Macaca fascicularis: one gene and its partners. The protein of the gene in region 1 purifies or fractionates together with the protein of each later gene. This does not show direct contact. Links are inferred from orthologs where the notes say so. Each region holds a gene or a part of one and is shown on either strand. Other genes may lie near its edges. The genes, in order: METTL9, SLC30A5 and SLC39A10.

Region 1 (4,093 bases):
GTGAAACCCTGCTTCTTGCTTGCCTAAAGTGAAACATAATCCCAGTTTTGAAGCTAGCACACCAAACCAAGTTACTAAAATGGCACTGCTACTACAGTTTTAGAGCAGCTTTAGCCCAAAGGAGCCTTGCCTCTCCAAACTACACTAACAAAATAGCAATTTTTAATGAATAAACATTGCCCAAGATCTCTCTTTTAACCACAGAATCCTCCATCATAATTCCTTAATAAAATAACCAGAAGGAAAACTTGCACTAAGTATGGTTCAATCAAATCCACAACCCTGCTTTTATGCAACTCCAAAAGAACCAGATGTGGCTGGCTATGGAACTCACACACCCAACTGAACACTTAGAAGACCTTGTATAAAACTATTAATCTGAAGGAGGAAAAACAGTTACAGTTATTTCACAAGCAACGAAGTTATAAGGCAAACACAGGATCCCGGAATATTAAGTGGAAAACAAATTATCAACTCAGCCACAGTGCAGAAAGGACAGTTTCCTACTTTATCTCATGGTGGTTTCTACACAGCTTTCTTCTGTTCATTTTAATCTTTATTCATGGACTATTATCTTCATAATATGAATGTATTCATGTCAAAATAATGTCTGGATTCATTATTCTAAGGAAAAGAGTTGACCCCTCCCCCAAATATTCAGAAAATACCGGATTAAGTCTTCACCCTAAAGAAATTATCTGCCCAGTTGTTAGTGAAGGGGTACACACACGCACGCACACACACACAATATAAATATAGTATCTGAAATAAATGTATCTGAAACCAGTATTAGTCTTCATTAGAACCTAACAGATTCAGCTTTAAAAAGGTCCACAATTAGAAAAGTATCCTCTGCTGGGAGATATTCTGAGGCTATGTCTACAGCTGTAATTCCACCTCCATACAAATCAGTGTTGAAACAGTGTTTCAATTTTTAAGATAAGTGCAATTCTTTTATGAGCAATGAAAACATATCAAGTGGCTGCAGGAGGGGTAATCATGATAAGTGTTATCATAAATACCAATAGCTAAGAGACTCAATCATAATCCCACATCAATGGAGATAAACCGCTTTTTCTCCTATCCAGCACCTTATTTCTATCAACTGCTTAAAAATGTTAAAAATGACATTTCTAATTCATTGTCTACACCACTGTTCCATATGTGACATTCTGATAACTGTACAATTAACGGTACAGTACTTTGAGTTGTCTCTATATGAACTAGTATAAGTTCATCATAAATCCATAGGAATAAATGTGGCTTTGTAATTTAAGTTCACGTACATTCCTAACCATATCATACAAGTGATCAATGATACTGATAATTGCATCTAACAAACTGCAGTGGCTGAAGGCTTTCAAAAAAATTTACAGAAATTTAGCATTCCTTTACAAATAGAAAAAAGTCCAATATAAATATTACTAAAAACGAAATGCTACTTTTCTAAATTGCTCTATCTCCTTCTTAGACAATTCTCTACCCTCATTAAAACACATGAAATCAACCTGGGTGTAAATTCTCTGAACACCTGGCATAATAAAAAAGTAACGTAGGAAAATGAGAAATATATGAAAATGATGAGACACAAGATGATATAGGGAATAATTAGTGATCCATGGAAAAGCAAAATGTACTATAAATGCTAGCTATGACAAGACAACACTCTGGCAGAGTTCAAAAGCCTCTTTTCAATGAATTTAACATTAACTGCAAACTGTGTTACGGTCAAATACGAAACATCTCACCTAATTCTACAGTTAACCTGTACACGTTTAAGTGGCACAAGACCGAGCTAATGAAAAGCCTACCTACCAGGTCACAGCGCAACGCTCACGATGCATAACTACAACTCCCTCCCGTCCCGTTCGGTTTTAAAAATGCTTCCTGTAAAACTTGCATAATCTTCCTCCTCATCACACACAATCTTTCCAGCAGGCTGACTAAATCCAAGTTTAAAGGAGATCTCTGCTAGGTAGGAGGGGAAGGTTCCGTAGGATGGGAGCGACAACCTGTCAAACCCATTTTTTAAGCGCTTAGGGGGAAATGTCACCCGAATCAGCCCGGAGAGTTCAATGGCTTGCGATGTACAGTTACATTTCTTTTACGACCCTTTGTACGTTCTGCGATTCATCGAGACAAAAAGAGGTGCTGGCTTTTCGTTTTGTTTCTCGGGGGTAATGGATCTGGCCGGGTCTCTTCAGTCTCAGGCCTCGGTGCCAAGCGGGCGCCCCCGGTCACGCTCTGGCCCCAAAGTTCCCCAGTCCCGCCGCCGGGTGTCCGCAGTCACCGCCCGGGACCCAGGAACAATGCGGGGCTCCGGGGCGCTCGCGATCGGGCCCGGGAGGGGGAAGGGGAGGCCATGCCCCGCCTGCGCCGCGGAACAAAAGGCGCTCGCGGGGCCGGGCCCGGGTCCCCGGGGCTCGCGAAGCCGACGCCCGGAGGGGAAGGCGCGGGGAAAACTTTCCGAGAGGCCGAGGCGGAGGGGCAAGGGCCGGGCCGCCCCCTCGCGGAACCGCCCCGCACAATAGCCGGGCCCAGCGCGGGAAGGCCGGGCCGCCACGCCCCCGCCCCGGCCCCAGCCCCGACCCGTACCTGGTCGTTCTCCTTCCTGCCGCCCGCGGCCGTCGCCGGCCCGCCCGGGCCGCTTGTCATGTTCACGTACAGGGAGCGGGTGAGCGGGCTCCGCAGCGTCCACATCCTCTGCGCCAGCCACACGGACGCCAGGCTCAGGCACAGCCAGCCCACCAGCAGTCTCATCGGGGGCCGCGGCAGCTCGCTCCGATCACCGCCGGCGCCGGGGCGAGGAGGAGGAGGCACCGCCGCCTCCGGCCACAGCCGCCACCGCCCGAGCTCGAGCCATCGCGTCCGACTTGCCCATCCAGCCCCCTTCAGGGCAGAGGCTGGGGGTGGGGAGGAGCAGCCGGCGCGCAGCCTCGGCTCCTCCCCCATCCCTTCCGACCGCGGAACGCCACTGCCCCCTGCACCAGTTTCTACCCGGAGCACTTACGAGCGGCCGCGGCGTTTTCTCTCCCGGCGTCCTCCCTCGGTCCAGTGAGCGGGCCGCTGGGAGGCGGGACAAAGGGAGCGCGCATCCGCCCGGAGGGCGTTCTCGTGTCCCGGCCCTGCCTCGGCCTCTGGTAATGGCGGAGGTGCTTTTAATTTTTTTGAGGCGTGAGGCGATCACTTCCGAAGGCGGTAACTGCAGCCCTCCTGCCCCTCTAAGGTGGTGCCGGAAGGACCTCTAGGCTTTCCTGGCCTTAGTCGTTACCTCTGGACCGTCATCCCACTCCACGGCGGGACTTTGACCGGGTCGTGCAGTTAACTCCGGGGGCGCAAAGAGGGGAGTCATTCCTTTTGTGCATCCTGACACACACAGGTTCTTCCCGGAGACGAATGCTGCCAGTACTGGTTACCCGCTCCGATGCGTAGTTTCCAGTTTGCATTTAGAACCGACCTGCTAGACTCCCTCCTCTCCTCTCCCCTTCCCACCACCACTACCCGCCTGCCCCGTTCCCCAAGCCTGAGAAGTTGCTGGCTACGTGTTTCTATAAGGAATGAGTGAAAATTCTGCCTTTTAGGGAAGCTACCGCAGCTTGGGTACCCACAAGTAATGTTTTAGATGTATTGATGGCCCTGCCCAAGAATGAAGACCTCAAGTTAGACTCCTTGGCTGACTTGTTTCCTTGAATTAACAAGGAAAGGTGGACCCAACACTCAGAGCGAACTCAGCTCTGGGAGCAGTGTTTAACCCGGATATTTATTTGATCAGTTATAGCACGAGAAGACCTAGCAACATTTCAGAACTGAAGGGTTAAGTACACTGTGTTCCTGTGACTGCAGTTCTTCCTGCTGATAGCCACGCCACAATTAAGGAGTAACATATTTCGTGGGGGTCCCTAACTTTAATACTTTACTAGGTTTGTTTGGAAAGTGCTTTTAACTGCACCAGAAATAATGTAAATGTGTCTAAGTTCAAAACAAAAGAAGTAAACCTTTTGGTTAATTCGATGTTGCGCATCAGAGATTTTCATTTATGAAACAGTGGGGTGGTGAGCCACAGATGTGGAACAAAATCATTCTTTACCCAACA
Region 2 (4,269 bases), on another chromosome or scaffold:
AATGAGAGAATGGGAGGCAGAGTTAAGAGGGGAAACTCCTCTTTAATCTCCACATTTTCCATCCAGGACCTCATCCTTCCTTTACTCTTGCAACCTGAAATAAAGTAGAACTCTTGCAACCTGGAATTCATCAAAATTCAACCAGTTCTGAGTTGAATTTGATTCTGCAATAAACTACAATAGAAGGGCAACTCTGCTAAGTAAATAGTACAAATAAAATAGCAAAGGATTGTTTACCACATTTCCCTACCTGAGACATTACGCTCTTTACACTCTTGAATAAATAACACTTTTAAACTACTCATTTAAAAATAATTTCCAGTTTACGTAAAAGTTACAATAGTATATCCTTTACCTGGACTCCGTAATTGTTAATGTATCATCCCATGTGATTTATTATTCTTTCTCTAAATGCACACACACAGGTTTTTCCCCTGGACTATTTGAGAGTAAGTTACATACTTCATGCTTCTTTATGCTTAAATACTTGTTTTTCCCAAGAACATGGACATTCTCTTATAAAACCAGCAGAGCTGTTTACTTCAGGAAATTTAAGTGATATGCTTTTTTTTTTTTTTTTGAGACGGAGTCTCGCTCTGTCACCCAGGCTGGAGTGCAGTGATGCGATCTCGGCTCACCACAACCTCTGCCTCCTGGGTTCAAGCCATTCTCCTGCCTCAGCTTCCTGAGTAGCTGGGATTACAGGCGTGCACCACGTCCAACTAATTTTTTTTTTGCTATTTTTAGTAGAGACGGGGTTTCGCCATGTTGGCCAGGCTGGTCTCGAACCCCCGACCTCAGGTGATCCGCCTGCCTCAGCCTTCCAAGGTGCTGGGATTACAGGCGTGAGCCCCTGCGCCTGGCCTGATATGATACTTTTATCTAATCTACCGTCCATAGTACAATTTTGTCAATTGACCCAGTAACGTCCTTTAAAGCACTTTTCCCCCCTACCAAATCAGACCAGAATTGCCTACTGCATTTAGTTGTCATGTCTCAATAATTAACATCTGATATGCTGTTATTTACAAAATGAGATGCTCTAAATAGATTAGAAAATTAAATGTATGCTACAAAAATGCAGTTGCTTTTTTTTTTTTTTTTTTGAGACGGAGTCTCGCTCTGTCGCCCAGGTTGGAGTGCAGTGGCGCGATCTCGGCTCACTGCAAGCTCCACCTCCCGGGTTCACGCCATTCTCCTGCCTCAGCCTCCGAGTAGCTGGGACTACAGGCGCCCGCCACCACGCCCGGCTAGTTTTTTTTTTTGTATTTTTAGTAGAGACGGGGTTTCACCGTGTTAGCCAGGATGGTCTCGATCTCCTGACCTCGTGATCCACCCGCCTCGGCCTCCCAAAGTGCTGGGATTACAGGCTTGAGCCACCGCGCCCGGCCGCAGTTGCTTTAAGTTCTGTCCTATGTGGTGTTCTTTCCTTTTTATAAAAAATGCTTATGTTGGGCCGGCTCGGTGGCTCATGCCTGTAATCCCAGCACTTTGGGAGGCCGAGGCAGGCGGATCACTTGAGGTAGACCAGTCACACCAACATGGAGAAACCTCGTCTCTACTAAAAATACAAAACATTAGCCAGGCGTGGTGGCCTATGTCTGTAATCCCACGTCCTCGGGAGGCTGCCGCAGGAGAATCGCTTGAACCCGGGAGGCGGAGGTTGCGGTGAGTGGACTCCAGCCTGGGCAACAAGAGTGAAACTCCGTCTCAAAAAAAAAAAAAACAAAAAACAAAAGGTTACTTTATAATGTTATTACTACAGTTCTAAAGAATTTATCACATTTATCACTTTCTTTAAATATCAAAGAAAGTATTTGTTCCAGAATGAGAAGAACTCGTTAAAATTGGAGGCAATGAACACAGTTCCAGCCAAATTGCAGGGCTATATTTTGTACATCTTTGACACTATCTCAGAATTTAGGAAGGACATACTCGAAAGTGGTCGCTGCACCTGTTGGTCCCTTACTTTTGGGGTTGGTGGGAGAACTGGAGAGAGGAAGTGGTAATTTTCACTTTTTACTCTATGAATTGCTGTGCTGGTTAGATTTTTTTTTGACAACGAAGACACATTTCTTACTTAAGAATAAAATAAAAAAAGAAAATAGGGCTGGACCCTCGATGTGCTCGGTTAATCTGAACATCCAAGTTCACGTATGTACTTTGGTTTCGTTGCCTGACGAGAGATGATGGTGACACCTTCCCCTAACTTATGCAGGGAAACGTCAGAGAGATTAAGTAGTCACCAGACTATTTCAGGGAGAAACAGCCAAGAGAAAGGCTTCTCACAGATCAGAAAAACCTCTCACTTGATCTGGCGGGCAGTTCTAAGATTGACTGACTGCCTTGTAACCCAGAAATTCAAGCAGAAGCTTTCTGGCTTTAGCGCCTTCATTCTGCAGCGGGCACCCGAAGGGCCCGGGGAGCCCGGAGGCAGCCTGCGCGCAGGGAGAGAGGCAGAGGGAGCGGGCGCGCCGACCCCGGGACGTCCCGGGCTGTCAGCGGGGACCGGACGGAGGCCTGGGAAGGTGTATCCTGAGCGGCCCGGCCGGTCGCTGCCTTTCGGATAGGTCCCTTACCGAGCGCTGGGTACGTCCACCGGCCCAAGGCCGCCGCCGCCGCCGCCGCCGGGGCCGGCCAGCACGTCCCCGCCGTATTTCTCCTCCATTCCGGGGCTCACGAGCCGCCGCCGCTGCCCCTGCCGCGGGGTCTCCTCATGTCTCGCCGCTGTCGCGGAACAGCGGGCACAGGCGCGTCACTCCCCCATGGCAGCTGCCCCGTCGGGTTCCCGCAGGCCGGGCCGCCGCTGCTGCTGCCGCTGCTGTCCCCGGCTCCGGCCCACTAGCACACGCGCGTCGGGACTAGGCCGCGGGCAGTTCCGGCGGCGCCAGGTTCCCGGGAGGCAGCGCCAGTAGGGACGTTGCCAAGCCACGTCATCAAGCCCAGCAACCCTCACTCCCAGGGGAGTGCCCAGCCTTGCGTCTGCGCAAGCGGAACACTTGCCTTTCCTCGCCGCTTCTTAGGCTCCTCCCGCCATGTTGTGGCGCATTGAAGCCCCGCCGCCTATCAGCCTCACCGGTTGGCGCTCCCGGTGCACTTTCCTGTCCCTGCAGTGCCACCTATGGGCCGTCAGAAGTACAGCGGATTCCTGCAGAGCAGAGGGAGGGGGCGTCGAAAATGTACAGCCAGTGTGATTAAACAAAGCTCACCAATCTTTTCCTCTGCGTTAGGGCTTCTTCTTCTTCTTTTTTTTTTTTTTTAGATGGAATTTCGCTCCTGTTGCCCAGTCTAGAGTGCAATTGCGCGATCTCGGCTCACCGCAACCTCCGCCTCCCAGGTTCAAGCGATTCTCCTGCCTCAGCCTCCCAAGTAGCTGGGATTACAGGCTTGTGCCACCACGCCTGGCTAATTTTGCATTTTTAGTAGAGACGGGGTTTGTCCATGTTGGTCAGGTTGGTCTCGAACTCCTGACCCCAGGTGATCCACCCACCTCGGCCTCTCAAAGTGCTGGGATTGCAGGCGTGAGCCACCGCACTCGGCCTAGGGATTCTTAATCCAGGTTAACATACCCTCTGCCTCTTAGGTTTTTGTGAGTATGGATCATTTTTGTGATAAGAAGGCCTCAAGTCTTAAAAGTTCAGGTGCCCTTCCCCCAACCAGAGATAACTATTTTTGAAGCTGTAGAGAATCGATTACAAATAGCGGTACAGCCATTTCTTTTGAACAATGCCTTTGATGGACTTTGAAGAGAAGAAACTAGTATTGTCCAAAATTTGCCTCCTCAGCAAACTATCCCAGGGCAATTTTCTAGGAGTGACCATGTGCGAATCTTCAGGGCCTTCTCTCCTACTCCTAAGGGAACGTAAAGGCAATTTCCAGATTTCTAAAGAAACATTCTTATCCTGGGCAACATGGCAAAACCCTGTCTCTACAAAAAATACAAAAAACAGTTAGCCAGGCGTGGCATGTACCTATGGTCCCAGCCACTCAGGAGGGAGAGGCAGGAGGATCGTGGGAGGTCAAGGTTGCAGTAAGGCGTGATCATGCTACTGCACTCCAGCCTGGGCAACAGAGCAAGAAAGTCTCGGGGGCGGGCGGGGGGCGGGGGGAAGAAAGAAAAAGAAAGGATTCTTCTTTGCCACAGGGAGCCTGGGGTCATCTATCAAATAAAATAACTGAGGAAGGTGACTGCTTTTGTGGCTTTTTGTGTGGGGCCTGGAGTACTGGTAACTGTCGTTGTTGGAGTTCCTGAAATCCAAGTGTGTAAGG
Region 3 (3,647 bases), on another chromosome or scaffold:
CTTGGTGTCCATGACCAGGATCATGACCATTACGTTCTGGAAGATGTACATGAGAATGACCTGGGTTATGTACACGATCAGGTTTGTGGACCCGATTATGCTCATACTGTTCACCCTGATCATGGTTAGGGGGAAAACCTGGTGTAATAACCTCAGAATTTTCATTACTTTTCCTCCCTTTTTTCTTCCTCTTTCCTTTCGGTAGTTTAACATCAGATTGTTCCTGGGTTTTATTGGTCTCTGTTGAAGGTTCATTGCTAGGCTCCCCACGCTCACTGGGAGTAATGGAATCGTTATGAAAATGGTGAGTATTGTTATGATCAAGATGATGATGCAAACGATGGTGATGACGTAGGCGGTGATTATGGTCATGCATATGTTTATCATCAGATTTTACAGACACTTCAATTGTCTCTTTCTCTGGATCACATTTATGGTTTCTTTTTGTTGATACACTGGTCACAGTTTGATTTTCTGAATTTAAATGATTATGGGAATGCTGGTGGTTATGTGAGTGAAAATGCTTTCCCTCTTGAACTGCCAAAATATCTAAGTGAGAAACATGATCGTGGCCAAGATCCTCATGATTAATCTCAACTACTTTTCTCTCTCCAAGGCCCAAGTTTGTTAAAAGTTTCTCCAAACCAAAAAAGGATAATCTTCCATTTTCACCATAACGCTCAAAAAGTTTTTCAATATAGTATTTTTTTTCATTTTCAGCAGCTTGCTTTGAAAATTTGCTTGGCTCCAATTCTGTCATTCCACGATGCTGTCTGTGAAGCGCCTCAGGGCCATGGTCATGTTCTTCATGGCAATGGTTGCAATGATGAAAAATAAATGTCAGCAAACAAATGAGGCAAAATTTTGTGTGCATATGTACCTTCATTTCTATTTTTCCTAAAGAGATTTAAAGAGACAGACAAGTATTAGTTTCTACCTAGACACATTCAAAACAATCACAAATTCTCTAGAAGTTGCCAATCCACTAAAAAAAGTTTTACTCCATTTCCTTCATGATAAAATATGTTAAGAATCAGAGAAAAGTGAAACTGTCATTATTCACAAATGGTAGAATTAATTATGCAGCATGCCTTAAAGAATCTTTAAGAATTAATAAGTTAGTTTAGTACAGTTACTGCATATAAGGACAGTAATAAATTATATTCTGATACACCAGCAATAATTAGAAAACAAAACTCAAAAATAGTAACATTTACAGTAGCAAATAGCTAGGAATGTATCTAACCAAAGACATACAAGAATTTTACATACAAAAGAGAGAAATTATTGAGAGAAATATTATTGAGAGAAAATTATTAGGAGAAATAAAAGACCTAAATAAATGGATGGCTATTTCATGTTACGATTGGATAAACTATGTATCCAATACAATCCCAGTCAAAATCTCAGAAATTATTTTGTGAAAACTGATTAACTGTTTTTAATATTTATGTGGAAACGGAAAGGGCCAAGAATGGCTAAGATGTGTTCCTTGAGGAACAAAATTGAAGCATTCACTCTGTGAATTATTAAAGACGCTGTGGTATTTGGTGCAGTAACTAACAAATAGACTAAAGGAACAGAAGACAAAAGCTAAAAACCAGAAAGGATGGTCTTTTCCTTGGTGCTTGGTCAATTAGGTTTCCACACAAAAGGAAATAATAAATAAAATCTGACCCTTACCTCACATTATTACAAAAATCAATTGCTAATAGCTCGTGAACATAAATCTGAAACAAGAAATGCTAAAATGATAAAGTGTCCAGAACTGTCCAGTTCAATGGTAGCCACTAGTGACATATGGGTACTTAAATTAACTAAAATTAAATTTAAAATGCAGCCTCTCAGTCACCCTGGCCACATTTTAATTGTTCAATAGCCACATGTAGCTAATGTCTACTATGTAGACACAGAACATGTCCATCATTATAGATAGTTCTATTGGACAAGCATACTTCAAGAATCTAGAAATATAAGAGCCAATTACGTAGTTTTGAAGTTTTCCAGAATAGATGAAACTAATTTCATACTATTCTATTTAACCCATTATATCCAAAATATTATAACTTCAACATCTAATCAATATAAAAATCATTAAAATATTTTACATTCTTTTTAATACTACGTCTTTGAAATCTGTCATGTATTTTACACTTACAGCACATCCTAATTCAGTCTATTTATATTTCAAGTGCTCAATCGACACATGTGGCTACTGGCTACTGTACTGGAAAGTGCAGATCTTGAAGATTTGGAAGACTAATTTTAAGACCTTCGAGAAAGAACACAAAATTGATAATATATTACACTGAAATTAAGAATTTATGTTTCATCAAGAGACATCCAAAACAAAAACCTAACTAAAAAGGCAGGCTGCAGACTGGAAGAAGACTACCACAATGTACATTAAAAGATATATAAGGAACTTCTACACATCAAATGAAAATTACAGTAAGACGACCCAATGAAAAAATGAGTAGGTAACTTGAACAAGCACTTCATAACAGCCAAACTGCTAAGAACCAAATGAAAAGATGTTCAGCTCAGAAGTCTTCAGGAAACCAAATTAAAATCACAATTAGACACCACTATATACTCCATAAAAAGAACTAAAATATAAAATACTGCCAATATCAAAAGTAGGCAAGAGTATATAGAGTTAAATGGAACTTGTGTACAATGACAGTAAGATTATAGATTGTATCTTCTGAAAAACTGTTTGGCAAGATCTGCCAGAAGCTGAAAATAAGCCTATGCACTCGCACAGCAATTTTAGTCTGGGGTATATGCCCAACAGAAATCCATGTACATGAATACCATCATGAATATTCACATAACCATTATTTACCACAGTCAAAACTTAAAAAAGGCTGGGCATGGTGGCTCACACCTGTAATCCCAACACACTGGGAGGCCAAGGCAGGCGGATCACTTGAGGTCAGGACTTTAAGACAGGCCTAGCAAACATGGTAAAACCCTATTGTTACTAAAAGTATAAAAATTAGCCAGGCATGGTGGCACGTGCCTGTAAGCCCAGCTACTCAGGAGGCTGACACAGGAAAATAGCTTGAACCCAGGAGGCGGAGGTTGCAGTGAGCCGTGATCGTGCCACTGCACTCCAGCATGGGCAATACAGACAGACTCTGGTCAAAAAAAACAAAGAAAAAACAAACAACAACAACAACAAAAAACACCTGATAAAAGCCTAAATGTTCATCAACAATAAAATGATAAATGAAACAGAAAAATCTATCACACAGGAATAAAAATGAAATTACAGCTTCATGCATAGATGAATTTCACAAATATTGGGAAAAAAGTGACAAACAAAGAAAGCAGTATAATTCTTATATAAAGGTAAAAAGGAATAGAACTAAACTATGTGGGTTTTTTTTTTTCTTTTTTTTTGAGACAGGATGTCACTCTGACACCCAGGCTGGAGTGCAGTGGCGCAATCAAAGCTCACTGGAGCCTTAAACTCCCAGGCACAAGCGATCTTCCCACTTAGCCTTCCAAGTAGCTGTGTGTACCACCACGCTCGGTTTTAATTTTCTTCTTTCAGGGATCTTGCTCTGTTGTCCAGGCTGATCTCAAACTCCTAGCCTTAAGCACTCCTCCCAACTCAAATTCCCAAAATGCTAAGATTG

What was found.
Region 2: the proteins of METTL9 (region 1) and SLC30A5 purify together in Homo sapiens (co-immunoprecipitation; 3 studies listed by BioGRID and IntAct, with this or other methods). This does not show direct contact. The link is inferred for Macaca fascicularis from reciprocal best matches to the Homo sapiens genes METTL9 and SLC30A5.
Region 3: the proteins of METTL9 (region 1) and SLC39A10 purify together in Homo sapiens (co-immunoprecipitation; 3 studies listed by BioGRID and IntAct, with this or other methods). This does not show direct contact. The link is inferred for Macaca fascicularis from reciprocal best matches to the Homo sapiens genes METTL9 and SLC39A10.

Annotation. Positions count from the first base shown.
Region 1 is NC_088394.1:21,447,309-21,451,401, reverse strand, and holds the start of METTL9 (protein-L-histidine N-pros-methyltransferase), read right to left. Parts: upstream 2,903-4,093; 5' UTR 2,761-2,902; coding exon 2,596-2,760; intron 1,851-2,595; exon of another isoform or gene 1,816-1,850; intron 1-1,815. UniProt on the Homo sapiens protein: Protein-histidine N-methyltransferase that specifically catalyzes 1-methylhistidine (pros-methylhistidine) methylation of target proteins.
Region 2 is NC_088380.1:74,748,899-74,753,167, reverse strand, and holds the start of SLC30A5 (proton-coupled zinc antiporter SLC30A5), read right to left. Parts: upstream 2,936-4,269; 5' UTR 2,669-2,935; coding exon 2,580-2,668; intron 1-2,579. UniProt on the Homo sapiens protein: Together with SLC30A6 forms a functional proton-coupled zinc ion antiporter mediating zinc entry into the lumen of organelles along the secretory pathway.
Region 3 is NC_088386.1:91,310,300-91,313,946, reverse strand, and holds part of SLC39A10 (zinc transporter ZIP10), read right to left. Parts: intron 898-3,647; coding exon 1-897. UniProt on the Homo sapiens protein: Zinc-influx transporter. When associated with SLC39A6, the heterodimer formed by SLC39A10 and SLC39A6 mediates cellular zinc uptake to trigger cells to undergo epithelial-to-mesenchymal transition (EMT).